Linked DNA regions of Lytechinus pictus. The protein of the gene in region 1 interacts with the protein of each later gene in a pairwise test. Links are inferred from orthologs where the notes say so. Each region holds a gene or a part of one and is shown in the gene's direction. Other genes may lie near its edges. The genes, in order: exocyst complex component 1-like; girdin-like; spectrin alpha chain, non-erythrocytic 1-like.

Region 1 (10,904 bases):
ATTACCGACAAATATCAGTACCGATAACCGACGTCCCACGACCATGAATCTTGTTCTCGTTCTACATTCTCCTTAGTCACATTTTCTTACGTCATGCCCAGGAGCAGTTCCGGCTTTCATAAATGGGGAGGGGGGGGGGGGGGGGCGAAAATATTTTCATCCGCATTTTCTACGTCGCGGCCGCCAGAATCTGTTTTTTTTTCATGATTTGTCCTAACTAAATTTTTGGATATTTTAACTTGAAAACTAAAAAAATTTAATTTTAAAACAAACTCAGTTTCTGCATCTGCAATTGAACAAGCTGTGTACCTCAAAAAACATAATGCGAGTGCGAAGCGCGAGTGGAAATTTTGGCATAGTACTGACCCGAAAGGGAAATTTTGAGCAATGTCAAACATAAAGGAAAATTGTGGAGAGAATATTGATTTCCCTATATGATGAGACTTTGACTTTAAAAAGAGTCATTTTAATCACTGTCGGTTCAGCGCGAGCTGACCACTTTTGATATTTTGACTTTAACAAATAAAATTTTGACTTAAAACTTAATAGTTTCACCCTTTTGCAATTTAACAATATGTGTACCTTAATGCGAGAGCGGAAATTTTCGATATTCTGAGGGAAAATTTAAACATTTTCCAATATGAAGGGAAAATGTGGAGAGGATATATAAATCTCACTAAAGATGCGAGCGCGAAGCGCCAGCTTAACTTTTGAGGTAAATTTAGACCAAAAAAAAAAGACATTCGAAGCAATGTAACCTTGAACAGGATGGGTATTTCAATAAAAATACATTACTATTTGATGATATCGCGGAGCGCGAGCTGACTTTTTTCCGATATGAAAATGGATATACATGTATACTAAGCACCTTTTTTTTTTTTTACAATAAAAGACATTGGATATCCATTAAGACCTGACAATTGGACATTCTAAGAACGGTGTTTTTTCATAAAGATCAGGATGTATGTATCTCAATAAATAGTTATTACGAGCGCGAAATGCAAGCTGATTTTTCTTTTAAATCTCGACTTTAAAATGGCAACACTCTTTTTGCACTTCTTGTAATCAGTAATGAAAACGAAGGGTACAACGCTCATCAAATTTTGATATTCCGACTTGATCAAATCTAGACATTCTAATCACTGTCGGTATAGATGAAGACGTACATTCTAATCTGCGTGACCCGACAGTTTATCATTTTTCCGTCGGTCCAACAGCCCCTGCTTTTCTTTTCCTTCTTTCTCTGCTTTTTTCTTTCTTCTTTTTCTCTTCCTTTTTCCCCCTTTCATCTCCTCATTTCTTTCATTTTTTGTCGCACCCCCACACCCCCTTTAGCGACGGCCCGGGTCACTACACCGTATTAAAGAAATGAGAATATCCCGTTTTTAGTTCCAAACAAAACAGTTTCACGTTTCATGATAACAAAATATTTCAGAGAGTTCATGAGGTGTTTTTTGCCAATAAAATATTCATTGTATATAAGAAAATACAATAAATACAAAATACATGTATATTATAATGTTCCTGCGATAAATACTTGATTGGCCAAAAACGCATTTAACTCTCTGAATCATTTCGTTGTTTTAAACCAGTATTTTTTTTTGCTTCCATCGGACTTTTTTTTTCTTCGTTTTTGTCTCACCTGCATAGCAGAGTGAGACTATAGGCGCCGCTTTTCCGACGGCGGCGGCGGCGGCGTCGGCGTCAACACCAAATCTTAACCGAAGGTTAAGTTTTTGAAATGACAGCATTACTCAGAAAGTATATAGACCTAGTTCATGAAACTTGGACATAGGAGTAATCAAGTATCACTAAACATTTTGTGCGAGTTTCAGGTCACATGATTAAGGTCAAAGGTCATAAAGGGTCAATGAACTTTGGCCAAGTTGAGGGCGCTGTTGAATTACCATCATAACTTTGAAAGTTTATTGGTCTAGTTCATAAAACTTAAATATAAGAGTAAATGAGTAATTAAGTATAACTGAACATCCTGTGCGAATTTCAGGTCACATGACCAAGGTCAAAGGTCAATGAACTTTGGCCCTGTGGGAGGTATCTGTTGAATTACCATCACAACTTTGAAAGTTTATGGATCTGATCCATGAAACTTGGACATAAGAGTAATCAAGTATCTCTGAACATCCCGTCCGAGTTTCAGGTCACATGACCAAGGTCAAATGTCATTTAAGGTCAATGAACTTTGGCCATGTCGGGGGTATTTGTTGAATTACCATCATATATCTGTAAGTGTATTGATCTAGTTCATAAAACATGGACATAAGAGTAACCAAGTCAGTGATACTTGGTTACTCTTATGTTCATGTTTTATGAACTAGATCAATACACTTACAGATATATGATGGTAATTCAAGAAATACCCCCAACATGGCCAAAGTCCATTGACCTTTGACCTTAATTGGTCATGTGACCTGAAACTCGCACAAGATATTCAGTGAATCACTGAACATCTTGTGCGAGTTTCAGGTCACATGACCAAGGTCAAAGGTCAATGGACTTTGGCCATGTTGGGGTATTTGTTGAATTACCACCATAACTCTTTGCTGTTTTGCTTCAAAAAGGGTATTTCATTTTTAAAAGGGCACATTTCATTTTGAAAAAGGGCATTTTCCATTAGTTTGAAAAAAGGGATTTTTTTCTACGGAGAATTTTTTGGGGGCACTTGTCCCCTGCCCCCTGGTTCCGCCGCCCCTGTTCAGATCTGAATTAAAATTCGCTCGCGCTGCGGGCTCTCATTTAGTTACACACCTTACAGCGCGTCCCAAAAAAATGTCCCTCTGATATGCGGCTAAATTACTTCAAAAAATAAAAATTATTCTCAGTGAAATGTATGAAACTAGGAAGCCCATATCATGTTCTAACTTCTATAAAAATTTCATTGGTCTCGCTTCAGTAATTTTGAATACACAGTCTATTATGTAACCATAGAGCTCTATGATGTAACAGTGGTGCATTTTAGTCCATTGCAAGTTTGCATGCCTGCAGCACTGCTGTGTGTTCTGCACATATCATATCAGCCCCCTTCGACCATTCTGACCAAGGAATTCCCTGATCTGACCAGGGAAATGTCCATCATCTAATCAGGCTCATCAAATCACAACCTTGAGCATGTTCAGAAGGGCAAAAACAATATTTGACAGTTCATTTCACGTTTGATAACAATTAAGAGATGCACAATGATTAATACAACGGGTCATGTCTGTTTCATGCCTATAATACTGCATTTTTGTTTTTATTACTTATTTTTACTTAAAGGGATGGTCCGGGCTGAAAATATTTATATCTTAATACATAGAGTAGAATTCACTGAGCAAAATGCCGAAAATTTCATCGAAAACGGATAACAAATAATAAAGTTATTGAAGTTTAAAGTTTAGCAATATTTTGTGAAAACAGTCGTCATGAATATTCATTAGGTGGGCTGATGATGTCACATCTCCACTTTCCGTTTTCTTATGTTATTACATAAAATCATAATTTTTTCATTATTTCATACTTGTGTGAATGATATGTCTCCCTTATAATGAAATAAGTTGCAGCAATAAATATATAATGCACTAAATCAGTTGTCAATCCAATTTTTCTAGTTCTTGGAGGAAAAAATTTGAATAAACCTAATTTCATATAATAAAATACAAAAGAACAAGTGGAGATGTGACATCATCAGCCCACCTAATGAATATTCATGACGACTGTTTTCACAAAATATTGCTAAACTTTAAAATTCAATAACTTTGTTATTTGTTATCCGATTTTGATGAAATTTTCGGCATTTTGCTCAATGAATTCTACTCTATTTATTAAGTTATTCATACTTTCAGCCCGGACCATCCCTTTAATAAGCTACTGTGGTCAATTTAATTCGATGTAACTTTTTAAAAGAAAAAAAAGTCAAATTGTTCTCTGGTATAGTTCCTTTTCGCAAAGGGTGATTAACTTGTGGATTCCCATTTATTTTTCAGCTTATATTACTCATCCATCATTCACATTTTCTTTCCAAGTTGGTGCACTGATTCCCCTTATCAATCATCAAACAAGCTTAATTTTTTTTTATGTTTCTTTTCTTCTGAACATACCAAAGTTTATGATTTAATGAGCCTGGATATGATTAGGGAAATGTCCCTGCTCAGATCCTGGATGTAAGAATGTGATGGGTTAATATGCCATAGACAATACAGAAATGCATCAATGCTGCAAACTTGGAATGGGCTAAAATGCACCACTGTTACGTATAACAGTATTCAAAACCGCTGAAGCGCAACCAATGAAATTTTCATAGAAGTTAGATCATGAAGTGAGCTCTACTCATGAACATTTTTTTGAGAATACTACCACATTTTAGAATTAATTCAGCCCTATGTCAGAGGGACATTTTTGGGGACGCGCTGTAGAAGTCCTAAAACAGTCAATTATTTATCAAATTTTTAGATTTGAAGAGAAAAAAGTCAGCTTGAGCTGCTCGCTCGCATTTTCATTGGTCAGAAAACTTTCCTCTTCATGAATTTCTAAAAAAAATCCTTAAAATTTATCTTTGTATATGTCATATAAACTGAATGCTCGCATTTCGGATACGTGTGCTGTTCATGATACAAACAGTGCTTGTAAAGGGTTACTCCAGGCTAAATTAATACAATTTGAACATTGAAAATTTGATTTAAATCGGAGAAGGAATAACAAAGTTATGACACTTTAAAAAATTGCATTATTTCAGTGAAACAGTAATTTATGCTTGACTTCATGAATATTCAATGAGTAAATTAATCACATCCCACTTGCCTTTTGTCTTTGTTATTTTTTCCTCCAAGAACTAAAATAATGGTTTGACAACTGCTTTAATGCATGAGATATTCCAGGCCTGAGACATTATTGCTGCTAGTTTACTTATTTTATTATAATCATTCACACATGCATGAAAAACTGATAAAATAATTATGATTTCATGTAATAACATAATAAGAAAAGGGAACTCATCAATCCACCCATGTTTTCACAAAATATAACAGTCACCTAAAATGTTCATTTATTTGGTCAGTAGGGCCTGTATGAAAAACATAAGCTTGCGCTTAATTGTTCATGAATGATATTAAAAATCAAAGATAGCCTATATAGAAACAACACTATGATTATGATAATGATAGAGGCAGTGGCGTACCTAGGATTTTCCACAGGGGAGGCAAAACCGTCCGCCAAAAAATTTGACAAGCAAAAAAAAAAAAAAAAAGGTCTTCAATCACAATTAAAGGATTTCCTACCAGAAAAAAAATTGACAAGCAAAAAAAAAAAAAAAAAGGTCTTCAAGCTCGTCAGCGAGGGGGGGGGGGGGCAATAAAGGTCTTCAAGCTCGTCAGGGGGGCAAAAAAGGTCTTTCAAGCTCGTCAGGGGGGGCAGGGATACGTCCTTTGCATGGGTTGTGGATCGTCAGGGGGGGGGGCAGACTGCTCCCCTGCCCCCTCCGTAGGTACGCTAGTGGATAGAGTAGACAATATATTGAAACTACTGAATATATTGAAACTCAAAACTACTAACATTTAAATAAAACATTTTATACCAAAGTTTAACATCCTGCTCTAGATATTACTTTCAATGTTATGAAAAACAGTGTCATTATCATCATCAGAGGCAGCATGCAACAGCAGTGCTAGGAATCAGCAGCACTGGCCACCACCGTCACCACACCATATCCATCACCCTCAACATCGTCACCCCCGTATTCATCATTATATCATAACCAGCATTATCCATATATCGGTACCTCTTCAGAAATCATGACCGGGATTGACATTATTATCCTGGTTCATCATCCCCATCATCATAATCATAATCATCATGCATCATCATCATCATCATCATCATCATCATCATCATCATCATCATCATCATCATCATCATCATCATCATCATCATCATCATCATCATCATCGTCATCATCATCATCACCATCATCATCATCTTCATCATCATCATCATCGTCATCATCATCATCATCGTCATCACCATCATCATCATCATCATCATCATCATCATTACCATCACCATCATCATCATCATCATCACCGGGCACCGGGCATCATCATCATTATCATCCCCTCCATCACATCACCCGTATCGATCCAACGTGTACGCGCGCTCGGCTATCGACCCAGCGCGCGCGCGCAGCGCAGCGGAAGTCAGTGTACGGTTTCCTTCGAACTTCCTGCATCCAAGTAAGCCAGGTAAACACTGAAATTAATCAGTATTTCTTTGATAAATATAAGATGATTATAGGTGCCACATGGAATTATAATTATTTATGTGCTTGCAGGTAATATGAGGATTTCGTGGAACAAATTTGCGCGCTAGATACTGTTGAATACGAACTTAATTTAGCCCGTGTTAATAACAGCGAAGAGAGGTATAACGCGGGCCGGCCAGGGCCGGTGAAGTTACGGGCTCGGCTGGCTGGGCCTGGGGCCCTGTAGCCAGGCGGCTTCCACTCACACAACATGCGAGGTTAGTATACTAACCTCGCACAACACATGTGATTTCATAGTGCATTTTGACGTTTTCATTCATCACACGAATGTGAGGGACTAAACTACGCCAAACCTTTCAATATTTGTCGGCGCTAGTGTAGTTTCGCACCTCCCCGTTTTAATTAATGGTTTTCAAACATGTACAATCTCACCCTAAATAATTTACAACCTAAAATACTTGCATCTGAGCCTCCAAAGTCCAGTAGAAGTTGAATATTTGCCGTTTTGACACTTTTTTACAAAGTTTTACACCTATTTCGGAATCACTCGGTCGCTTGATCAAGCTCAGCGCTGCACATAAGCAGTCGATACGCGTACAGTACGTACCACCTAGTGCAAGAAGAGCGAGTTTTTCTATGGTATCTTCAAAAAGATTTTTTCCCCTCTTTCAGCTTGCACCAAGTATTACGGTCAGTGGCGTACCTAGGATTTTCCACAGGGGGGGCAAAACCGTCCGCCAAAAAAATTGACAAGCAAAAAAAAAAAAAAAAAAAAAAAAAAAGGTCTTCGATCGCAAATAAAGGATTTCGTACCCCAAAAAATTTGACAAGCAAAAAAAAAAAAAAAGGTCTTCGATCACAAATAAAGGATTTCGTACCAGAAAAAAAATTGACAAGCAAAAAAAAAAAAAAAAAAAAAAAAAAAAAAAAAGAGGTCTTCAAGCTCGTCAGGGGGGCCAAAAAAGGTTTTTTCAAGTCCGTCAGGGGGGGGCAAAGATACGTTTTTGCATGGGTTGTGACTCGTCAGGGGGGGGCAGAGTGCCCCCCCTGCCCCCCCCCCGTAGGTACGCTAGTGATTACGGTAGTGGTTTTTCACATTTCTTATTTCATTCAAACAAGCAAACACACACGCACACCCCACACACACCTTCACACAACAAACATCAACCACTCTGCACAACCACTACCGTAATACTTGGTGCAAGCTGAAAGAGGGGAAAAAAATCTTTTTGAAGATACCATAGAAAAACTCGCTCTTCTTGCACTTCACTAGGCCTAGGTGGTACGTACTGTACGCGTACCGACTGCCTATGTGCAGCGCTGAGCTTCAAGCGACCGAGTGATTCCGAAATAGGTGTAAAACTTTGTAAAAAAAAGTGTCAAAGCGGCAAATATTTAACTTCTACTGGACTTTGGAGGCTCAGATGCAAGTATTTAGGTTGTGAATTATTTAGGGTGAGATTGTACATGTTTGAAAACCATTAAACGGGGAGGTGCGAAACTACACTAGCGCCTATTTGTCCACTATGTTAATCTTGATCGTATGATTTAAGTTTATTTGAAAAAGGAATTATAAATTATTTATTAAAGTGTTTTTGTCGCTTACCTCCAAATCTCAACCAGGATACTTCGTTCGATCCGTCCTTAGTCATCCTCATACTGCGGTGGAAATTACGCAAACAACAATCGAAATGCGAAATTTTCCTATCGAACATTCTCGATTCAAGTCGTCGGCGCATAATAGGAAATTGTACCAAAAATCAACAGGTTGCAATCTTTTCTGGGGTGCACTTGACCTTTAAGAGATTTTCCAATGAAAATATTACATGGAACTTGGAAATACAAATCATAATTTGGTTGAACAAAATGTTTTCTGTTAAAGTATAAAACAGAAGAGGAACATATCCTTCACGTATTTTTATATCCAAAATATGTTGCCTTAGTCTGGAATAATCACAATGACATAAAATGAAAATGGGTAAAGTACCTTCCTAATGATCATTGAGATTTCGCCTATGGAATCATTGTTTAATAATTTTCAAAGCTTTAAATAGATGAAAATGTTCATTGAGAAAATATACATATATATATATGAACAAAATGATAATGTCCCGATTGTTTCGCATTACGTGTGTTAGATTGCGGGCGTTTGTGTGTGTGTGTAGGAAGCAAGATGTTCGTGTTAATGTTTGCACAAAAAAGGAGAGGGAAAGGAAAAGGGGAGGGGGAAAGGTAGAGGAGAGAGAGGGAAAAGGAGACCATAAAATAGAAAGAAAACAAAGGAAAGGAAGAGGGGAAGGGAGAGGGAAAGAAAAATGGAAAGAGCGAGAAAAGAGTAGGGGAGGGAGAAAGGAAAGAAAAGAAGGGAAAGGAAAAAGCGAGAAAGGGAATGGGGGGGGGGCGGGAAAGGAAAGGAGAGACAATAAAAGACAGATCAGGGGAGGGGGAAAGGTAGAGGAGAGAGAGGGAAAAGGAGACCATAAAATAGAAAGAAAACAAAAGAAAGGAAGAGGGGAAGGGAGAGGGAAAGAAAAATGGAAAGAGCGAGAAAAGAGTAGGGGAGGGAGAAAGGAAAGAAAAGAAGAGAAAGGAAAAAGCGAGAAAGGGAATGGAGGGGGCGGGAAAGGGAAGGAGAGACAAGAAAAGACAGATCAGGGGAGGGGGGAAGGTAAAGGAGAGAGAGGGAAAAGGAGACCATAAAATAGAAAGAAAACAAAAGAAAGGAAGAGGGGAAGGGAGAGGGAAAGAAAAATGGAAAGAGCGAGAAAAGAGTAGGAGAGGGAGAAAGGAAAGAAAAGAAGGGAAAGGAAAAGCGAAAAAGGGAAGGGAGAGAAGAAAAGAAAAGAAGGGAGAACGAAAATGGGGAAAGGGAGAAGGAGAGGGGATGATGAAGGGGATAGGAAAATGTCAAGTTTGAAGATCTGAATATTAACACTAAAACAAAATTAGACTCCCATGTTTTATTGATAAAAATACCATCTTTTTCATGATTATAAAGGTTCAACGTCCCTGTTCTAGGTCTAAACTTCAACATAAATCTACTGGCGCTTCGCGCTTGAATTCTGGAGGTCATTCCTCTTTTAAAAGTATCATAATGGTTAGTCGCGTGCATTTGAGTGTCTGAAAGTCCACACACACAGCTTCAACACAGGGAACAGTGGTTTTCATGGACGTAATATTGCAGAAATCCGGGAATATCTTTATAATTATTAATAATCTCACACCAGATTGATAATAGTGTGAAAATTTTATCAAATTCCATTAATTTGATGTAAATATTATTACAATTAATTCACTATTTACGTCTCGCTGTTCATTTGAAAGTGTCCATGTTCACAACTCTTGCTATGGCAAACGGTCTGAAAGCACCCATATTTTCGAGACCCTGGCACCTTTGTTTTCCCAATGGAATATCCCTAAGGGTCAAAGAGGTCGAGATTGATTGTCATCTCAATGCTAAATAGATTACCTACAGTTTGATGTATAATACTTTATGACTGGTATAATGGTTACATCTCATTTTTCCCCAAAACTTTGAGATCGAGCAGGCAGAACATGGCATATTTCTGTGTACAACGTCACGTGACTAACGTATGATAGTTTGCATTCCTAGACCCAGGGTTGGCACGTTTTAAACGGTGTGTTTTAAAACATGTTTTAAAACGCGTTTTAAAACACCCGTTTTTTTTACAAAAAAAACGTGTTTTAAAACACCTCATAGACTTGTGTGTTATAAATATGCATGGTCATGGATGTGATTTTAGATGAATATTTTTTTATACTTTTATTTCTTAAGTGGCACATTATTTTCTTCTAACTAGATCTCTTTCTCACACCACTCTTTTTCTCTTTTCCCCCTTATCCCCCTTTCTCCATCCCTTTGTCATGTTCCTTGAAATCCTCTTGTTCAATTGTGCACATCAATCTATATTAAGAATATTCTCATTATAACAAACATGAGTGTTGTGCTTTAAAATAAGCTCAAATATGGAACTTGAATGAAATGGAAGTGTTGCACAAGCATAATATTTTACAAATAGACTGTAAAACTGACATTGTATTCTTGAGGTACACACAAAAGCAGGTGAAACTTTGCGCTTTGTAAATATGAAGAAAAGTACTTAAATTCAGTATAAGATAGTCAGCAAGCAAACCTTAAAAGTCCACCCCAAGAAAAATGTATGCTGAAAATTTCGTCAAAATCAGATACAAAATAATAAAGTTTTGCTTAATTTTGCAAAACAGTTATATGCCCATCTTGGTCGGTATGCAAATGAAGGGGACTGATGACATCACTCACTATTTATTTTGTATTTCGTTATTTTCTCATTGTCATGTGAAATAAAGTTTAATTCTTCCCTGAACATATGGAACTACCATTGTTTTAACATTTTTTGGTTCAGTCAAGTAGGTCATCTGAAAAAATTGAAATTGTATTGTTCAAACAATAAAAACAAAAGAAATAGTGATTGAGGGACATCATCAACTCTCTCATTTGCATATCACTGAGATGTTATTACTGTTTTGTGAATAAAAGCGAAACTTTACAATGTCATACATGTAACTTATTTTATATCTGATTTCGACGAAACTTTCAGCATTACATGTATGCTTGTTTGAATTTTCTCTACAGATTGAAATCAACATTTTTCTG
Region 2 (10,049 bases), on another chromosome or scaffold:
ATTCTCCTTTAAGCTCTGAATCTTCATCCAGGATGGTTGTGCATGACCGCATCATATGGCTCGTCTCTCTCTCTCTCTCTCTCTCATCCAGGAAATATGTCACAGGAATAATCTAATATCCGTTCCAGTATCTTCTTTCATAACATGCACAAGTAGGAACAGGCATAGAATATACTTGTTCTATGCCTGGGCATTAGCCTATCACTTGAAAACTGGACTTTTGAAGTTTGAAGAAGTGTCTCCCAGAAAATATTAATTTACTAGATTTTTTATTACTTATAATCAAGGTCTTGTTAAAAAATATAGAAAATTCAATTAAGTTCAATCTTTCTCTCAAAAATGATAGTTCAGTTTCTATGGCCTGTCGTCTGTTGGATGAAGTCTCATGTTTTCAAATTATAGGGGACGTTACACACATACCTTGGTTTGAAGATCAAAGTTGTCACCCTCAATTGGCAATATATGTTGCACTCTCCGTATCCTCATACTGTTGCTTGAAGACAGTTTGTGTATACAGGAAGGATATACCTGATACTTATTTGTCAGATAACTCATAAATCTTTCCCAAGAAGGAAAAGTGCCTAGTAGATTACAATAAGTGCCTAGCTGTTGGATTTTTATCTTTTCACGGTACATAGAGATAAGTTAACATTAGTGACAATTGCTTCCTTCTAGACAGAAGGCAAATAATAAAGAGGGGTATGTTTTTTGTTTGTCTCTGCTGCATAGCAGGAGCAAAGCATATTTACTGTTTTTCCAATATCTCTGTCAATTGGAATGATTTGCATACACGCACTCTTAAGTTGCAGAGATTTAAAATAAGCCCAGGTGGACTGTAGCTAAGGACCAATCAAATTTGAGATTTAATCCTAAAAGAACAAATTATTTTAAAATCTCTAAAGGATTTAACTTAAAATCTCTCGAGATTAAAAACTTCACTGCAGACCATATTGATGTATTTTAATTCCCTGCAATTTGATAGAGTGGAGCAATTGAGTAGAATTCCCCAGATGCATATATTTGTACCAAAACTTTTGATATGAAGTTCATTGAGAGGCAAGATGGGGATAAAAAAGAAGGAGATGGGTGTATAGCAGGAGATGAAAATTCTGGTATACCTTTTCCTAATATTTACTTCAGAAGTTCAGATAAATGTATTTATTTTCAATAAAGATATTTCCAATATGAAATTGTGGATATACCTGGGCCTCCATAACATAAAGCTAGGTGGTTAATCTCATCCGGAGCTGATTTTTTTACAATTGATCATACACAATAATCAATGCAATTAATCATAGAAATCAACCTTATGATCAATCAATAGGCTTTGTGTTAATGGCCCTTGCATGGTGCCTATGAAGTTTATACTATCTATTTCCAGTGAATCTGTATCTTTGGATGAGATATATTTCCCAAAAGTGCATTGCCATAAAAGTCAGGTTTAAGTATCTGGAATACATCAGTTGTCAGATATATGCTCTGTAATGTGGCATTTCTCCCAGGCGTAAGGGACCAAACCACGAATTTTGATGTCAATTCAGATTCTATCGACAAGGCCTATACTGTGGAACTTCTCCCCACAGGGGCCAAAGTATGATTTTTGATGTCCATTTAAATTCCAATGAATCATCGTGATCATGCAGGTGGTCTGCCAGCGGAAAATGCTTTATTGGCCTACATGCAGACATGTATATTTTGGCCTGCATTTTATTTTCCATCTCTTCAAAATGGCTGTCAGATTTTTATAAGCCTTATGTTTCGATTTGAAAGCTGCTGCATTCATCACAGCAATGGCAATTGCCGTCACCATCATCATTTGGTAATTTTACTTGAGAGCAAAGAACAAATTATGCCTACATAATATAAATAAAGGAAACCTATTATGTAGCCTGACATAATTTGAGACCTCTGCAATAATTGAAGCACTATCAGGATTGTGAACCAGAACTTTCCTTGTATTTTTTCTATTAAAAAAGAAAGTAAGTCACATCATTCAATACTATCTAGGCCTTCTTTATTTGCTAGTAGTTCATGCGGCTTTTCATAATAAGGACCGCATGATTGTGTAATTGACATTTATGTTTTGGAGGAGATTGTTATTCATTCAAAATAGTTATGTAGCGCTGACTCAAAAAAAGGAGGGGACCTCTGTGTTTGGTGTATGTATGTCGCCATGACAATCATAAGTCATCAATATTTTATTAGATTACTCTACATTTGGGTATTCCCTCATCAAGTCTTAAGTTGAATTTCGAAAAGGAAATAATCTTGCTGTAGTTGTAACAATTTATCCTATATGCCTTTCCATTGCAATCGTTAGTTCAAATAGTTGCATGCAAGTCTCACATTGTCTACAATTGATACAATCAAGTTATATCCTTTGCAGAGAAAGGGGGGGGGGGCGGGTGCCAATATTTTCATAATGGAAATAAAAAAATGACTGAGCTTTGCTCTTTTGAATAACGACATGCATTCAACTTTTTTTTCTTGCTTGTTCGTATATAGACTTAATCTCATCAATCATATACAACGTTTCCCTTTCGGATCGATGACCGTAATGCTACTCAACTTCATGTAACATGTTACTGTTTACTTGTAGCTTTAGAAAGAATCGTGAAAATATTTCATCAACCATGTGCAAACAACTTCCAGCCGTACCAAAAAAGTTTATCAACCGGAAATAGTGGCATAGTGGCACAATATCTGACTTCAACTGTTCACTCTTGGTAACATTTTTTTTTACTCCTTAATGAAGCACGGGAGATTGACGGGTGTCAAAGGTCGTGATACAGAGACTGATCATGTGGTCTAACCTTACATGATTCACAAATTTTCTTCTCTCGCGAGTCAAAAGGTGCTTTCAGACCGACTCGATCACCAGAATACCCATAGCTCCATTATACTTTTGTTTGCATATTACAAATTTACAGTGGCCTTGATGTTTTTATTTTTTTGTTGTATAATTTCTAATTCACTTTTGTCTGTATATTTCAAATTTTCTACATTGTAAAGCACTTTGATATGGATCTCATGAAAAGGGCCCTCAGACTCAGTTATGATTGATACAGTTATGAGAATTTGATCCGGCCTCAAAATACCTGTTTCTGCATTGATACTCGCCCGATTCAAATCCTTTCAGGGAAAGTTTTTGAAGTTGTGAGCGTGGCCAGTATGGTCTTAATTGTTGACGAGGTGCATGATTCACGATTGAGAGCTCATAGCAAGCTGGCAACCCAGGTGCCACATGGTGCCCACAGCCATTGTACTCACTCGGATTTGAAAGTTCTCCATATTTAGACAAGTACCTACTATTTAGTTGGTATTTTCATTCAGAAATATAAAAAATTATTTGCTTTCACAATGGCAAGAATACCTGTTTTTTCCGATTAGTGTAGATCAGGATAAATTTACTGATCAGGGCCCTGTTTCATAAAACTTGTTATTAACAATTTTTCAATAACAGTTAAAAGCTACTGAAATCCTTCACTCTGATTGGCTGACAGTAAATTTGATATCGAAAGTGTTCATTATTACAACAAGTCTTGATGAAATGGGAGTAGGATAATACCTGGTATTCTTTGTTTTGAAGTCAGACTGAAAGCACCTCAATAGGTTCATGTGGTTTGGATTTCAAACTGAGAGGGTGACAATGACTCCTGTTGTTGCTGCTAATATTCTGCAAATGTTCTTGCCAAGACCCCAGAGGGGTGGTAATTGGGTGCAAAGGGCCCAAGAGTTTCGACTGATGTCTGTATGAGTTTTAAGATTAAAAGTGGTCTTGTGTTTTATGAGTTGGGCGTAACGGAAGTGCAACCAAAGGATATGTAGCTGATCAATAGCAAAAGAATCGGCAACAGCAAGAATACTAAGAATAAACAACAAGGAAACTAGCATTTGTGTGTCAAAGTTTAAAAATAAAATGCAAAGTTACTTTGCAAAATGTTTCCTGTTATGTGAAAATAACTCCCATCTTGAATATCCTTATCTTTCATTTTCTTGAATTCTGTCTTTGGGGGTGTTGCAAGAAAATATTTGCAATCAATCGCAAATATTCTGTTGCAATTTTACAATTGATTGATCACTTTTAACAATATCAAATCAGATTACACTCCTTGTTTCATGGAGCAGATTAGCAATCAATCGCAAATTTACAATTAATTGCACGGCATATGTTTGATTTCGGGAACGAAAATAGACTTGCAATTGATCGCAAGTTTCTTGCAACGCCCCATCAGTTTATTTATTCACATTTGCATGAAACATATAAAAATACAATTCAGTCACATCTGCATAGGCTCCTTTAATATTTCATCAAGAGAGACTCCTTTGATTGAATTGATTAATTGAAATCATTTAGGATGAAACTAAAGCATCTTAGTGTGAATTACGTGCAAAAATCTACATGCTCACATACAGCACATAGACGTCACAAATGAAACTAAGCCATTTATCTCCTTAGCTTTTATTAATATCTTTAATCAGCCACTTAATCTTCATCATTACATGATTTGATAATGCAATCGAATTCATAACAACTACTAATGCAAAGGTATATACTTTGGTATATATTCTGAGAAAGAAATAGTCAACTTCCTTGTATAAAACATAAACATTGCCTGGCTAGTGTGTTTGGCAGAAAAGTGGAAAAGGAAGTTGGTTGTTTACTTCAAAGCTTGTTATTTTAATTTTTAAGTAATTTAATGACAGGTGCTTAAATGTCATTTTTTTATTTTTATGCATCACATATATATGCTTTTCACACTGCATTTCCTTAACCCCATACTATCCTTAACCCCGGACTATCCTTAACCCCATACTATCTTTTTTTCGATTCACACTGTCTTTCTTAACCCCATACTATCTGCTCAGCCGGGGATAATGCATTAACCCCGGACTATCCCTCAGCTCATGAATATTGATGATTTTACCATACAGAGCGTGATTAACGTGCAATTCTACTTCCGTGATTGGCTAAATGCTTAGCCCCACTTTCCTTAGCCCTGTTGGTTTTCACGCTGCATTCTCTTAGCACCGCAATTGTGGTGCTAGCACCACAATAAGCCGGCTAACCCTGCTTTTTTGCAGGGCCAGATAGTACCGTACTATTTACCGTGCTAGCCCACTTTGCTAAAACGTAGTGTGAAAACGAAGTGGGCTAAGCTTAACCCCGGGAAATTGGTGGGGCTAAGACCCCCCCTTAGCCCCACCAATTTCCCGGGGTTAAGGAAAAATATTGCAGTGTGAAAAGCATAATAGAGGATCACTGAAGATTTTAATTGCATTGGTCTGATGTTATGGGAAAACATTCTGTTTATCTCAATCCAAGAAAAATGTACTTGTTTTGATATGTGGTGTTTGAGAAATAAAATATTTTCTGATTAGTTAAGTCCTTTCTTTAATCACTAATCTAAGCACTAATCATTTAAAGACAATTTCAGGATTTTGTGGGTGTGTTTTGTGACACAGAAACTTACTCAAAACTTGTTGATTTTTTTTGTAATTGCGATGTTTATAGGTCAGAAATATGTTTAAAAAAATAAATGAAGTTGAAAGAAATGAAAGCATTTGTTTTTTGTGGGATCATATTGAGTATTTGCAGGCATTTTTGAATTCAGAAAGAAAATACCTGCATTTGCAGTTGCCATGTATGCTCTATTGACATTTTGTTCCCATCAAAAAGATGTACATTAAATAATAATCATAAAACATCACAAACATAGCATTCACCTTTATTCTTTTTTTTTCAAAATGTTATTCAATAACAAATAATGCTGATAATTAAAAAAAGAGCTAATTATAGCAGCCTTTAGGCTAACCTTATATCTTCAAAAATATTAAGATGGGAGCAAATTGTTGCAGGGGCATATATTGGATCACTTTCCGTTCATTATCCATTCATCCTTTTAACCCATAGACTATCATGGAGCTTAGTCAAGAGAAGGAGTACCTCCAGTCTCAGGCAGACGGGCGTGTCCTCTCCCCTTCCCCCTCCCTGACGAGCCCCGGAACGGACAAACGTCATGTGACTGTTGAGCTAGCCGAGTCCAAAGCCAAGCTGAGGAGAATGAGGCAGGACCTGGAGGAGAAGAATGAGATGGTTCTGGAGTACAAGGAGGAGGTGGAGAAGTATAATACCACCATGCAGAAGTTACGGCAAGAGGTAAGCCACAAAAGTTTCAAATATTTAATCCTAAGTTTTAAACTTATTTTCATTTACCCTGTGGCCCGTCAGATGTAAGATACATTTAGTTAACATCGATCTCAAAATTGAAAATTGGAAAAATATAATCTGCCAATATAAGCATGGTGATTTGTCGATTCAATTACACATGCATCTGTGCATTCTCTTTTGAAAGCACTGCTTACAGGTTCTGCACGTTGTAAGTGACGGATTATGGACTCACTGGCCTTCCATAAATAGAACTGAGATTAAATCAACCTCAGACCTTTATTGGTTTGCACTCAGTTATTATGTAATCCGTGTAATATTTGCCTTAAAAATGTATTTTTACACTTAATTTTCTACACTGGACCATGTTAACAGGGTAGCAAACCCCATTAGCCATGACTCTTTAAAGTAACCACTCTTGAGTGTGTCAAATATGTTTTATTAATGTGGTGAAAGTGAAACTTATTCAAATTATTTGGTATTATGTTTAAATATAATTTGTTCTTTTGAATTGATGTGGATGATATTAATGTCTGCTGAAGTGAAGTGATGAAGTATTAATATTATTTATTAATGTCATTTATTTATTTATTTATTTATTCATTTATTTCCAGTTTCATGTCAACAGAGTAACCTCTTGAGTTGACAAACTGCTATCACTGAGGGCCCTGTACCATGTTTTCTTTACTCATTCTTCTGATCAATGATTGACTTTACAATTGAGTTTTGAAAACTTGATTTGTCATTATAATCACTAATTCAACCTTATTTATTAATATTTTTGTTTTGCCAGAATCTCGAGTTGACGCAAGATGCGCGTTCAGCGAGAGCGTACAGGGATGAGCTCGACGTGTGGAAGGAGAAGGCCAGCAAAGCAGAGAAGTACGAGAACGAGATCGCCAAGTACAGGGAGAAGCTCAATGAGCTAGAGTATCTCAAGAAAAGAGTCGAGGTAAGGTTGCTTGTTTATGAATTTGTGTTTTCAGGGATGCCACTTTTCAGAATTAAGTCTGAATTCAGACCTTTTCAACACATTTCAGCCATTAGAATATGCCTTTTTCATGTACATGTAAGAAACGGGTCATTCTAGATGACGTTTAGACTTTTTGTATCAATTCCAAGTGGCATCATGTTTTATGCCATTTTTTCCTCATTGGATGATAATGGCTTTGAAGGAGAAGATTAATGTAGAAAAATATAAAAAAATTATGTTTATTTTGCTGTCATAACACGGCTCTTTAGAAATGCTGTTGAAATTTCTTCTATCAAAGCCATTTCTTGTTGCATCACTTCGTAAAGGCCATTCCGTAGTGTATGTCCATTCCACCCCCTGTATTTGTCTTCTGTTTTCTAGTTTATGTGAAAGGGTTTACTGCTCTCAATTATAATGGCTTGAGCAGATTATAGAGTGAAGAAAAAATGGAAAAATATTAGGGGTCGGACATACAAAAAGTTTGGATTATTTTATTGAATTGCCCAGTTGGCGTTGTCTTTTCAAGACTTCCACAGTTGCATAAAGCCACTTTCACATCTTCAGTTAACCCTTCTTTAATTATCGATATGAAAACCAAGTCCCTCTTTTTATGAGCAGGTCACCACCGCTAACGACAAGCTGGAACAGGGCCACCTTGCCGAGGCAGAGTGTCTAAGGCTAAAGGTCCAGATAGAGTAAATCCGTACAGAAATTGTGCTTTATACATTCACAATTATTACTGTTGTTATCCATCAGGAATTAAAAGAAGACAACACGGTTCTTTTGGAAACCAAGTCCCTACTGGAGGAGCAGGTCACCACCGCTAACGACAAGCTGGAACGGGGCCACCTGGCCGAGGCAGAGTGTCTAAGGTTAAAGGCTCAGATGGAGACGCTAGAGGAGGAGAGAGATATGGACAGGGGTAGGATAGCAGAGCTAGCGGAGGAGGTGGCTAGGCTGAGTTTAGACCATAAACAGAGTCTCAATGAGTCGGCCAGTCTGGGTGTGGAGCTGGAAAAGGCAAAGCTAAACTCTTCAGGTATGTTGGGTTCAAGGATTTCTTTTTGCCAGAAAATAAAAGTAAAGTTAAGGTTTATTTAAGTTTATTCTTGTCATATATCATTCTTTAAAAAAAAGCAAGGTCCATGTATACTTTTAGTTTATTTTTTTAATTAACTTGGACAGTGTTTCTCCTGGTTCACCCAATCTTTTTTAAAAGATGCTGGAATAGAAAAAAGTAAAATAATGGTCTTTAAAGTTTATTCTAGTCATAAAGCAATGTCCGAAACGAGGTTCAATACACTTTCAATTTATTCTTCTGGTTATCTTTAGCAATGCTTCTTCCAGTTCATCCCCTCTTTCAAAATTTGCTGGACTGGGTCAATCTCCACTTCTTTGTGTTTTGTCTGATTTACAGTTAGTCAATTGATATACTCTCATGAAAAGTATTTCATTCCTTTATCACTGAGTTTTTTTTATGGAACTTTGCTTGAATAACAATTTGTTTCAATGCTTTTTGTCCAAATTTAACAGCTGCTGCATCCTTGTCAGCAGAGTGCAATGATAGTGCTTCAAGTAAAGTGCTCAAATTAGAAAAAGAATGTCAAAGACTCCATCGCGAGATGGAAACAATGCGAGAATCTGCCGGGTTAGAAGCGCAGACTCGGCTCCTCGAGGTCGAGAAGGAAAATCAAAGACTCAGCCGGAAGCTTGAAAAAGTGCAAGAGGCCAGCTCCAAGGAGATGTCTGGTCATCTTGAGATTGAACAGGAGAACAGTGTCCTGAAGCGAGAAAAGAAGGCTCTGGATGACACCATCTTGACCATCAAGGAGAATTCTGAGAGGTATCAGAAAGAATGGGATACGGAGAAAGAGCAGTTGGAAAGGACGATAGAAACCCTGCGGGAAAGAAATAAAAAGGATGTCGACCAGAGGATACAGGATGTTGAAAAGGAGAACAGGAAGTTGTTGGAGGACATGATGGATAATCAGAGTAAACTGTCCAAAGCGGAACACGAGACAAAGCAATTGCAGAAATCGTTGGAGAGATTGAAAGAGAGGACAGACAGGATTGAGGACTTGGAAAAGAGCAATGAGGCTCTGGAACTGGAGAAGGAAAAACTATCGAGGAATGTTGAAATGCTCAAGTTGATGTGTGAAAAGTTTGACGAGGTGGAGAAGAACAACACGGAGCTGGAGGTGGAGATCAGCAAGGTGACGCGGGCGCTGGAGTCGGCCAAGGTCCGCATCCAACGTCTGGAGCACCTGGAGAATGAGAACGTGAGGTTGAAAGCGGACACCCAGACCCTGCAGAGGTCGCTGGATGCCATGAAGGGCATGGCAACGCGGATCACGGAGATGGAGCACGATAAGGAGGAGTGCGAGAGGGAGAACAGACAGCTCCAGAACATGGTGGAGGGGATCAAGACGGTGCAGGACAAGGCGGGACAGCTGGAGGTGGATAATATGAAGCTAGGTAATGAGAAGAGGAGGGTGGAGAAGGTGGTGGAGCTCAACAAGGATACCATACACAAGCTGGAGAGGGAGAATGAGAACCTGGAGGCAGAGGTGGAGAGGTTGAAGAAACAAATTGAAGCTCTCAGGTAAGTAATGTATCCTTTAACCTAAACTTTTCAAACCTTTAATCAAAGAAGTAGGACTATGGAATAAGATTGATATATAAAATAAATATCATTTGATGGTTATAATTACAAATTGAAATCATAACAATATACATGCAGTGATTCCTGCATTTTAGCCTTCAAACGAAAGTCAATAACTCCTCGATCATCTATTTTCCCCAAATATATATGTTTAAAAGAACGTACAATATCTGTCCTAATGTTTACTTGAGAGTTCTCTACTTTTGGCATTAAAGATATGCAGGTACACTTTTGTGAAAGGTTGT
Region 3 (11,083 bases), on another chromosome or scaffold:
AATAGAAATCAAAGTGATTGAGTAGGCTATCTGATTTAGCATCAAGAAATGATCACAAGTCGTTCTGGTATTAATAACAAAAGAAGAATAATTCTACACACATACATATGTTAAACGAGATACAATATACAGGAACAACTTTTCTGGATGCAGTAGTAGTGTGTTGTCAAATGTTTAAGGTTTTTTTTTTAATGTTTCCTTAATTTTTGAAAGTTTTATGTCATATTCACAAAACTTAGACATAACAGTACTGGGGGTGTTTCACAAAAATTTAAGTATGATTTAGAAGCACACTTAAATGCCTAGTTGTGTGCCTTATAAAAGGCATGACTGCATTGGTCAGTGGACGCGCACTTCTGCTTATTAATCAAAAAGATTGCTTATCATGTACGCGTCGGTATTTAAGTGCAACTTTAAGTCACATAATTCTTGGTGAAACACCCCCCTGGTAATATCTTTATCAAATTCTGTCAATTACAAGGGTGAAATTGTAATGTAAGAAAGTCATTACTGCTGATGTATGATTCTACCGATTTTAGCATTATATATGTGCTATCTGCATTACTTCAGAAGTGATCAGAAACAATTGGATAATATAAATATTTCTGACCACTTCTATTCCGATCCGCTAAAGGGCAATTCTATAAAATATGTAAGTCCGACCCCCTATATGTGGGACCTTCATAAAATTTTCTGTCTTTGATTTCTTGTTGTTTTGACAGTCTGTAATGTTCTCTAAAGGACCGTGACTAATAATCAGTTTATAAAGTAAAGTAAGACTTGAGAAAAATGGGGGGTGGACGTAGGTTGAGCATTTTATGGAATTGCCCAAAAGTTGGAACCACCCCCCTCCTTTCAGTTGAAACAGCATTGTGAAGAATATGTACTTTACTGAGGAGAAACCGTTCATTGGAAATGAGCCACTTCCTCCAGATCCTGGAGCTGATTATGACAGGACAAAGGATTAAGAGGGGAAAAGGTGGATCTGAGGACAAAGAAGATTAAAGTGACTCTAAACAAACTCATTGTACAACAAGGCTGTGGACTCACTGTGAACACCTTTTGTATCTTTTGAAAAGATCCATGGGTAGCTTCACAACAGAGCTTTGTTAACTTCCCGAGACTGAGCTGCCCACCCCCTTGGCCTACACAAAATACATTGGCAATAATTACAGGATCACAAAATAAGAACTGGTGGAGGATACATTTGGATAGTTTTGGTGTAGATTTGTGACAATTATAAGGAATAAAATAACTCAGTAAGTTTGTTTCTTTCGATTAAAATCAGCTATTTTATGATGTTATCTGACCTGTAATTCTTGAAGTTTGACGATTAATATGTCAGTCACATTTCCTTTTTGGCCACCATACGGCGAGTTGAAAGCAGCCGTTTTATCTTATTTTATTCAAGCCAATTATATGAAGCTGGTACAAAAAATGTTAAAACGGCTGTTTTCGACTCGCTTCAAGTTTTGAATTGCTAGATGTATGCTCTGTCTCCATGAGAATTTAATTTTGACCTACATGTATTTCGATCTTTGTGTCACTTCCTTACTACAGTATAGTGTGAATGTAAGCTATTGGATACAAGTAGGTCTTGTGTGTTCCAGAGAAATTCTTTAGTCAGACTATTTACCCACACCCAATGATTATGATTTGAAGTTTTATGAAATCTGATGAAAAGTCAAGATGTTGAGAAATTTATACAATGCAATTATTTCTTAACCCGGCCCTCCCCTCAATTTTTTGTATTGGAGTACTTGGAAGAGTCCTTAGCTTACATACATCACTATTTCATCACATATGTAGCCAATTTGAAGTATCCATGGGTTTAGTGGTTACCAATATATTACATTTTTGAAAATTCATAACTTTTGTATTGTTTGCCCGATATTGTTCAAACTTTCACCTATCAACTTGTCTAATTTTTAGTTTTCCTCTATAAAAACAAGTTTTTATTTGGGTTGGATTCTCCTTAAACTGTGTTCTACATGATAACCCAAACTGAAATATTGAATGTTGCAATCTGGTTCCATTTAAAAAAATGAGCATTTTGATATTAAAAAAAAAAGCTAATAGAAATCAAAGTGATTGAGTAGGCTATCTGATTTAGCATCAAGAAATGATCACAAGTCGTTCTGGTATTGATAACAAAAGAAGAATAATTCTACACACATACATATGTTAAACGAGATACAATATACAGGAACAACTTTTCTGGATGCAGTAGTAGTGTGTTGTCAAATGTTTAAAGTTTTTTTTTTAATGTTTCCTTAATTTTTGAAAGTTTTATGTCATATTCACAAAACTTAGACATAACAGTACTGGGGGTGTTTCACAAAAATTTAAGTATGATTTAGAAGCACACTTAAATGCCTAGTTGTGTGCCTTATAAAAGGCATGACTGCATTGGTCAGTGGACGCGCACTTCTGCTTATTAATCAAAAAGATTGCTTATCATGTACGCGTCGGTATTTAAGTGCAACTTTAAGTCACATAATTCTTGGTGAAACACCCCCCTGGTAATATCTTTATCAAATTCTGTCAATTACAAGGGTGAAATTGTAATGTAAGAAAGTCATTACTGCTGATGTATGATTCTACCGATTTTAGCATTATATATGTGCTATCTGCATTACTTCAGAAGTGATCAGAAACAATTGGTTAATATAAATATTTCTGACCACTTCTATTCCGATCCTTTCCTTTTTGGCCACCATACGGCGAGTTGAAAGCAGCCGTTTTATCTAATTTTATTCAAGCCAATTATATGAAGCTGGTACAAAAAATGTTAAAACGGCTGTTTTCGACTCGCTTCAAGTTTTGAATTGCTAGATGTATGCTCTGTCTCCATGAGAATTTAATTTTGACCTACATGTATTTCGATCTTTGTGTCACTTCCTTACTACAGTATAGTGTGAATGTAAGCTATTGGATACAAGTAGGTCTTGTGTGTTCCAGAGAAATTCTTTAGTCAGACCATGGACTATTTACCCACACCCAATGATTATGATTTGAAGTTTTATGAAATCTGATGAAAAGTCAAGATGTTGAGAAATTTATACAATGCAATTATTTCTTAACCCGGCCCTCCCCTCAATTTTTTTTTTTTTTTTTTTTGGGGGGGGGAATCGGGAAGGGTAAAAGTGGCTGCACCCCAGTCTTGGTCTGCAGGTTCAGACCCTTCATTTTCGCAATTCACATAGTGCATTATGCAGAGTCTGAAGTAGTGAGACTAGATTCACTATCTCCTGTGGCTGGCTCTTATTTGACCCAGTCTTTGGAGTCTAGTCTTCACTCTAGACCTGTTATTGGTCAAACCGTCTAATATTAGTCTGTGCCTGCAGACTACCCCAGTCTTTGCCAGTGGGTACATACATGTAGGCTACATATACTTCATACTTGAAATGAACATTACCTTGGATATATGGATTTAACAGCTGACAACCCACTTACCAACTGTGATTGGGTTTTTAATTGAGCTGAGTCAAAGCATCCAGTCAGACCTCAGAGCTGTTTTTTGTAAGTTCAGTCATGGGTCACCAAACTTAAAGGTACCGAGTGGGGGATTCCTGCAGACAAGATCATGTTAGCCCTGCATACAATGTAGGATATAACTGGAAGTAGGCCCACAAACAACAAACATGGAAGTTGCGGGTTCAAAACTCTGCCGTGGCACTGTTGTGTTTGAGCAAAGCATTAATATCTACATCGCTCTTTTGGATGGTGATTTTAAAGGTTGATCCCAGAAGTGAAAAACAAATCATATTTGATTGATAGGCCAACATAAATAACTGTAAATACTAAATTACACATTACATTACTACCATTAAGAAATGACATGACATGGAAACTTCAATGAAAAGACAATAACATTATATACCTGTAGGTTTGATTCAGACGAAAAAGCAACTCAAATTACAGCAAGCCATTAAATGCAGACAGCCCTAATCCAATTAACCAGGCAAAAGGGAAATGATGATGATAACAAATATCAACAAAAATAAAAATCAGAAACATGTATCATGAACGTTGTTGACTTTTCTAATGGCCATAGCCTAGGATGATATTGTGCTTTTCATCACATTTAATGTGTTTTGTGAAGGCAGTGTGGTCTGTTTTAAAGAAAAAATATTTTCTCTGTGTCATTTCTCTAAAATATTCTAGAATTGTGATTGTACATGAATACTTTTAAAGCCTGTATGTGCATCGGCCTACATTTACTTAGACCCAGCTCTCATTACAGTTCTAAAACCAGTTTAGTGGAAACTAGTTTAACTTGTGATGGGGACACTCGAAGTACTGTACACCTCGAGATACATTGTATGGTTTTCTAGACCGCTCTGCCTCGTTAAAGTTCTTGAAGCATAGATGAAGAGAAGACACAACATATCTTCTGGAAGCGATCTTTGCGCATTGTTGGGCGCGCTACTCCGTACAGTACATGTACAAATGTATGTAGAATGTCTATGCTGCAGTTTCAAATTTTGCTTGAAAAATGTCACCACACTGAGAGCATTCCCCTAGCAACAAGACTGCTTTAGGCGAAGTGGTTTTGAAAACCACTTTCACGTGATCAGATACATTAAGGAGCACTTACAAACTGGTTTCCTAAACCAGTTTCCACTAAATTAGTTTATGATTGTAATGAGAATGGGGTCTTAGTGTAGGGAATCTCATGCACATTGTGTATAGATCATGACTTGTTGCAATTTTTAACTGATAAGAGTGTGATACAGGGTTACCTATATGTACATGTACTGCCTAGCTTAGCACTAATATGTGCAAAATATAGCAGCCAACCATCTGCAACTGTCAAGTCTGACATCATTGTTGCCCATGGCAACAACATTAATATTCAGTCTCAGACTGGCTCTCTTGCATGCTGTGTTATTTATTGAGGGCCCAGTCAGCGGCATGATATCCCCTTTGTAATTTGTTCTACATTTTTGTTCCTCTCTCCTCTTTATTATTAAAGGTCACATTTCAATAACTTGTAAAATTGTTTAATGAGAAATATTTTCTGGCTCTTGAGCTGACCGAATTGTAATATTGTAAAGTGGAAATTTACTTTGGGGGTAGACAAATTGAAAGGATAATGTTCTTTGATGCAACTATTCTTTACTGTGCAGTGGCATATCAAGGCACTCAGGGCACATGCTATCATTGCATCCCTATGTGATACCCGGGTGAGCACAGAAATTGTGTCTGTTGTCTTGACTTGTGAGATAATTCATTAGACTTTTGCTTTTTTTTTCTCTCTCTCAAGCTCTGCTTCTCATTCCCTCCCCTCTTGCCCCTTTTTTTAGCACTCCTTGGAAGTGGGGCCTAAGGCTTGTCCCACCTTTCCCCGAGATTTTCCTCTGATCCTCTGGTTATAAATAATCGTGACACAATTTTTACTCTCTACCTTACTCAATTGATTATTTTTCAGATTTATTATTCTATGTTCTGATTAATGTGCATTTAACATTTAACATTTTGATGGAAGATGCTCTTTTGTATGTGATCTGCTTTCATTGCCCCCTCCAGTCTCATAGATTGTTGAAGATTTGTGGGTGTGTTCTAGATTCCCTTTTTATTTGCCTGGCTTTTTCTATTATTCTTTTCATTGGCAGTTTTTGCATGTCCATCTCTCTCTCTTGCTCTCTCTCCTTCCCGTCTCTCTTTCTCTATCTTTCTCACCTGGTACTCTATCCCTGACTTCTGTGTGTCTCTCTCTCTGTCTCTCCCTCCTCTCATCTCTGTCCTGGTTTTCTATCTCCCCATCGCCAGACTCTGCCGAGTGCTTCAGCCAATTTTAAGAAGCTGAGGAAAACAGAAAGCATTTACTGTGTCCCTTCTCTGTAAAGTGCTTGCTGGTTTAAAATGCAGGTGGTAGACTGGTATTAATTTAGTTGAATTCTAATCAGTTCAAATTGAGCCTGGAATGCTGAAATAAGCCGTGTGGACGTCATTAGCAAGAAGGAGAGAGAGAGCGAGAGCTAGACAGCAGTGCATCAGGCAGTTGATGCAGTCTCAGATTGCTTTGCTTGCATAACCTTAAACTTTCAGATGCCTATTGCATGTGTATGAGTGTTAAATATCTCTTTGATGATGTGATGGTTTCCATCAGGTACATGTAGGAGTCACTGGAGTGGATTGGTGAAGGGAACGCATCTCTTGCGGGTTTAGCATCATTGCTCAAGCGGAATATTTGACAGCGGATTTCTTGGAAGTATGCTCCATTCATCATGCGTACATGTATCTTATTAAAAGCATCTTGTACTGTTGCAGAGATTTACTGATGCCTGAATCTTGGAATATTTATTAATGACTTTGAATTACGCGTCAATCACAACTATACACATATGTGTACTTGTTGCATCCTGAACAATGTTCTTCTCTTCATCATGCATGTGGAAATGAATCTTGTTTTGTTATTAATGAGAAAAATATGAATTACATGATGTAGCTTCACTCTGGAAAATTTGTTATTCACATTGTTCTCTCATCAGACGGAAGGACAGGAATCACAGTATTGCTTGTTCTATTAAAAATCTCTGTTTTTGTTTTCTGTTTAGTGCTTCTAATGACAAGTTTTATGTCTTGTGCACCAGTTGCTGCAGAGATCTAGACCTGCTTTTAACATTCTCAACATCTCTTGGAAAGCCATGCTCTGTTTGAAGATAATGTAGATGTACATGTATCCCAATTGTACATGTACAGTCTAGTAGCTTTTAACAGCTCTTTGACATGAATATCAGCATACTGTAGAAATTGATAATTGAATGATAATGTGCAATTCTTTGTATCACATCACGTAATGATATAAGGTCTCCATTCAAGTCGCTGTCTGCTAACCTGATTAGCCAAGGAGGAGACACTTGTGCAATCAGAACACACTTGTGCATTGTGGCTCCTGCTTGAATGCTTAATCATCCACCCCTGACTCGAAGACCCTGCGGTCCTAGCTGATGAGTTCTTACCAGCAAGGACGCTGACGTCATTGAGACTGTCATTGCGACTGTCGTTGAGTGTGTCATTGTGCATAGATACATGTAGAGGGTAGGAGTGGTGCTATGCCAGTGTGTCCTTTTCTTGATGACCACCCAGATCTCTTTCTCTTACTCATCTTATGCCTTGGAACGTTGTACGCTCTTTGCTACCTGCTATCCTACCTCATCCTCTTCCTCATAGAGCGCAACAGTAAGTGAGATACATGTTCATCTCATGGATTTTGAAGGGAATTTACTCCCAAAACCGATTGTTGAATGTACATGTACATGTATGTATTAAAAGCTATGTTGTGGAATGTGCATACATGTATGGGTGTGTATTTGTATGTGGGCACCATGTATGTGTCCATCGCTACACAAAAATGATATACACCATACAGCACATATGAGCAAAGGATTTTGAATGAAGGGGTAGGACAATGTGTCAAAGGGTCAAATTTCTTTGAAAAAAATGCCTTTTAAATTAAAACTATAATTTTGTGATAGATTTTGACACAATAATCAGAAAATTGTATTTCACCCATTTTCCTTCCCTTTTGTTCCCTTTTCATCTCATCCTCTTTCTTTGTTGTGGAACTTGTTTTAGGAGGGGGGGATAGGGAACAAGTGCCTCCAAGGTCCACCCCCATCTATGCACCAGAAGTACATTGCTATACAGTTACAAATACATTGTAGGCCTATGGACCTTCATGTAGGATTATATTTTTTATTACCGTTATCTTACAGTTTTGTTTTTCTTATCAGTTTCTGTAATCATGTACATGTAGGCCTATATCATATGTTTCTATATTATTCTGAGAACTACAATTTTGTACAATTTTCATATCTCACAGATTACACATTTGTCCCAATGTACATGAATGCATATAGATCTATAATAAGTTGTTTGTACAGTGTGCTTTGACCTTTAATCAGATATATTGGCATTATTAAATTCTTGTACCACTGTAAAAACGGATTCCTCTTGAGAGCTGTACATTTTTAATATGAAAAATGTATAAATCAGAATACACATGTGTCCTGAAGTGAGGTGACTCTAATGTTTGAACAATTTAATCTCATAGAACTTTAATGGGATTATTGGCATAATAAATTCTTCACTACAGTACAGTTTAGCCTCATTTTACAGACTGTATCAAAATGTATTATTTTTCACTGGTTTCATAGTGAATTCTGAATCACATTGGGCATTTTTATACACTGAATGCTCTTGTTTTTGGGCCTCAATAGCCTTGCCGTTTTGCCTGTTATTTTCGTGTCCTTTGCATTGTTTCGTATTTTGCTGTTATAAAAGTAAATGCACCACAGAAATGTTACCTTCGGTTATTTCAGACTTATAAATTTATATACTGTAGGCCTATGATTTGTGATAATTGTAATAGTGTAACATTTTTTTTTTCTTTTTTGAACGTGAACACGTACCTCATTTGTTTTCTTGAGAATTTTTCATTTAATTCACAATACATGTATATAGAGATAAGTTTTTTTGCTGTTTACGGATACAAAACAAACAAGACTCAGTAGGAGGATACTATCTAGAGATGTGACTCGCTAAAAAAAAGGAGAACAGAATCTTTTGTTTTCATATTTTGCATGTTTGTGGGGTTGGGATGTAAAGGGACAAGGTTCAAGTTTGAAAGTCAAAATATAATCTAAACTTAGTAGGTTGCCAGTAATAACCAATAATAACATATCTGTACCTGCTTTTTGGGCCGTTGTTTTAGGCGCTACTAAAAGCGAAAATTACTATCATAGATTAATTTTCATTATCCAAGGCATTGATGAGAAAAAAAAAACATAAATAAAAAAGAAACTGTACAACTTAAAGAAGACTAACGATTGGAACTGTATTTACCAAGAGGGGGGCATATTGAAAAGGTCCACACACACTCAACGCACCTATAGAAAATATACACGCAGTACGTCATGCACACACACAGTAGACATGCAGTACAAGCATCAATGCACACACCAGCATTCATCGTGGGATACCGTTGAGGTATTTTATTGAGCGTTGGTTGGTTGGGAGCTACATGTTAGCATTCTCGGGAATATACCACGCACTCTCCGCACTTTGAGTGAATACATTACATTAGATTCTACAGGCTGATATCGAGCCTTACCCATCTCTGAGCTGCTGAAAGGGAGTGGCATTGCTTTGGTAATGATAATACATTATTGGCCCCTGCGTAGCATCTCTCACATACAGGGCCTTTTGAAAACGGACATCTCTGCGATCTCGTCTCAGTTTACCTTCTCTTTCGGCGGAGCAGACACAAGATCTTGTTTTTAACAGGTAGGAGAAATCAGAATCATCAAAGTTAAAGATCTGAGCTGGGGATTTATTGGTATCATTTTTTTTTTTGGAGAGAGATATGTCAAATAGGATGGATTTTCAAGGCATTCTTCATGATGCTGAATATTTTGGATGAGTATAACTTGTCTTGGAATCAACTAGTATGAATAATTTTCATGATATACATGTACTGTACCCCTTTACTCTAGTACAGACTTATTGAGTGATGCTTTCTTTTACAGGTATTGAGTTATTCTGATTGATTATTGGTATGCAAGAATGAATCTATTCTATTCTTCTTTGCCTGGATCAGTTCATTCTCTTGATCAAGCCTGTGGTATTTCATGACAGCTTCCATTTCATTGTGGTTGGAGATAAATGAACCGCAACCTTGATACCATAAGGCAGAATATACTGTACATGTACACATTAACTGAGCTTTACAAATTGAGGCCTATATAATTATTTCATCTGACTTTTTTTTTCTGATTAAGTGTTCAAGTAACTCAATATGCATGATATTTTTTTTAATTTATATGTATATTTGCATTCAGACATGGAAATTTATATGAAAATATGTTCCTGTTTGAACTGCTTACAAGAGGCAATGAAAATATTTTATTCTCTAAATCAGAGTTTCAAATGCAGATGAAAGAAATGAGCTTGGGAGGAGTTATTTTATTTGCATCTTACATGTAAGTTTGAATATACAACAAGAAGAAAAAAAAACAGGAGAATGGTCTGTTGATTAGCACTTGATACCAACTTAAGGCTAGATATATATGTGCATTTTGATCCCACCGCTGCCACCAGTTGTAACATTCCCAAAATCACTCTTCCATTCTGCTGATCCTGTGAATCAGGTTATGAATTAATATTTTTGTCACATTAATGTACTATCACATGGGTTGTGTGTTATGTTCACAGTACAGTACAGTAATTACATGTATATGCAATATATCAGAATTTTTTATCACTTAGCCTAACTCCCACTCATCATATAATTTGTCATAATGTACATGTAGGAAGAGTTGGCTCATGTCTTGAAGAATGATTCTGTGAATCAGGTTACAATGTATTTTAGGAAAGACAGGAGCAGTAGCGATGAAAGACTGGAATATGTCATCCAAGCAAATAATCTTTGTTGAGAATATTTGCATGTGTCATGTAAATGGCTCCATGGAAACATGTGCTTTTGTATGTGACAGTGTGAGGCATTCCAAGAAACATGATCGTTAATAATTTCTTAGTCTGAAATTCTCATGGTTCCTTCTGTAGAGTTTTTGGCTGACTTCAGACCTATGTGCATGTATGGATGGTCTGTTAACAGTCATCATATGAAACTCTTTAAAGAAAGATCCCATAACTCAGTTTACATGTAGATGCATTAATTTTTCTGTGATATAGAGGAAATGCCTTATACAGGAAATTCTGTTAAGTGGGTGTGAAGAGCCAGGAAGGAAATATTTAAAAGTGCATGTTACTCCATAAATATACCAAACAAATATTGTTTCCATAGCAACATGAAGCAGAGAGGGAAATTTGATATTCAAATGGAAACTATGTGGAATACCAGACAGTTTTCTGCATGGTCATGCATGGCTTGAACAGTTTTCAATAAGGAAAAAAATGAAATGCAAAATTTAAAATTGCTGGGGTGATTTTGCCCCAGACATGCTAAAAAAAAAACCCTGGAAACTAAACCAAAAAAGGAGCACTTCATGTAGATCGACTAGAAATTCATTGCAATGTTAAAGCATATAAATGTTGCAGATTAAGACAGTAAGAC

Evidence for each region.
Region 2: the proteins of exocyst complex component 1-like (region 1) and girdin-like interact in a two-hybrid assay, tested with the Homo sapiens proteins (2 studies listed by BioGRID and IntAct). The link is inferred for Lytechinus pictus from reciprocal best matches to the Homo sapiens genes EXOC1 and CCDC88A.
Region 3: the proteins of exocyst complex component 1-like (region 1) and spectrin alpha chain, non-erythrocytic 1-like interact in a two-hybrid assay, tested with the Homo sapiens proteins (2 studies listed by BioGRID and IntAct). The link is inferred for Lytechinus pictus from reciprocal best matches to the Homo sapiens genes EXOC1 and SPTAN1.

What each region holds. Positions count from the first base shown.
Region 1 is NC_087249.1:53,892,147-53,903,050, forward strand, and holds the start of exocyst complex component 1-like, read left to right. Parts: upstream 1-6,177; 5' UTR 6,178-6,230; intron 6,231-10,904.
Region 2 is NC_087251.1:45,618,792-45,628,840, reverse strand, and holds the start of girdin-like, read left to right. Parts: upstream 1-5,915; 5' UTR 5,916-5,920; coding exon 5,921-6,160; intron 6,161-6,962; coding exon 6,963-7,121; intron 7,122-7,898; coding exon 7,899-8,181; intron 8,182-8,675; coding exon 8,676-9,744; intron 9,745-10,049. UniProt on the Homo sapiens protein: Bifunctional modulator of guanine nucleotide-binding proteins (G proteins). Acts as a non-receptor guanine nucleotide exchange factor which binds to and activates guanine nucleotide-binding protein G(i) alpha subunits.
Region 3 is NC_087259.1:29,335,668-29,346,750, forward strand, and holds the start of spectrin alpha chain, non-erythrocytic 1-like, read left to right. Parts: upstream 1-6,127; 5' UTR 6,128-7,188; intron 7,189-8,932; exon of another isoform or gene 8,933-9,294; intron 9,295-11,083. UniProt on the Homo sapiens protein: Fodrin, which seems to be involved in secretion, interacts with calmodulin in a calcium-dependent manner and is thus candidate for the calcium-dependent movement of the cytoskeleton at the membrane.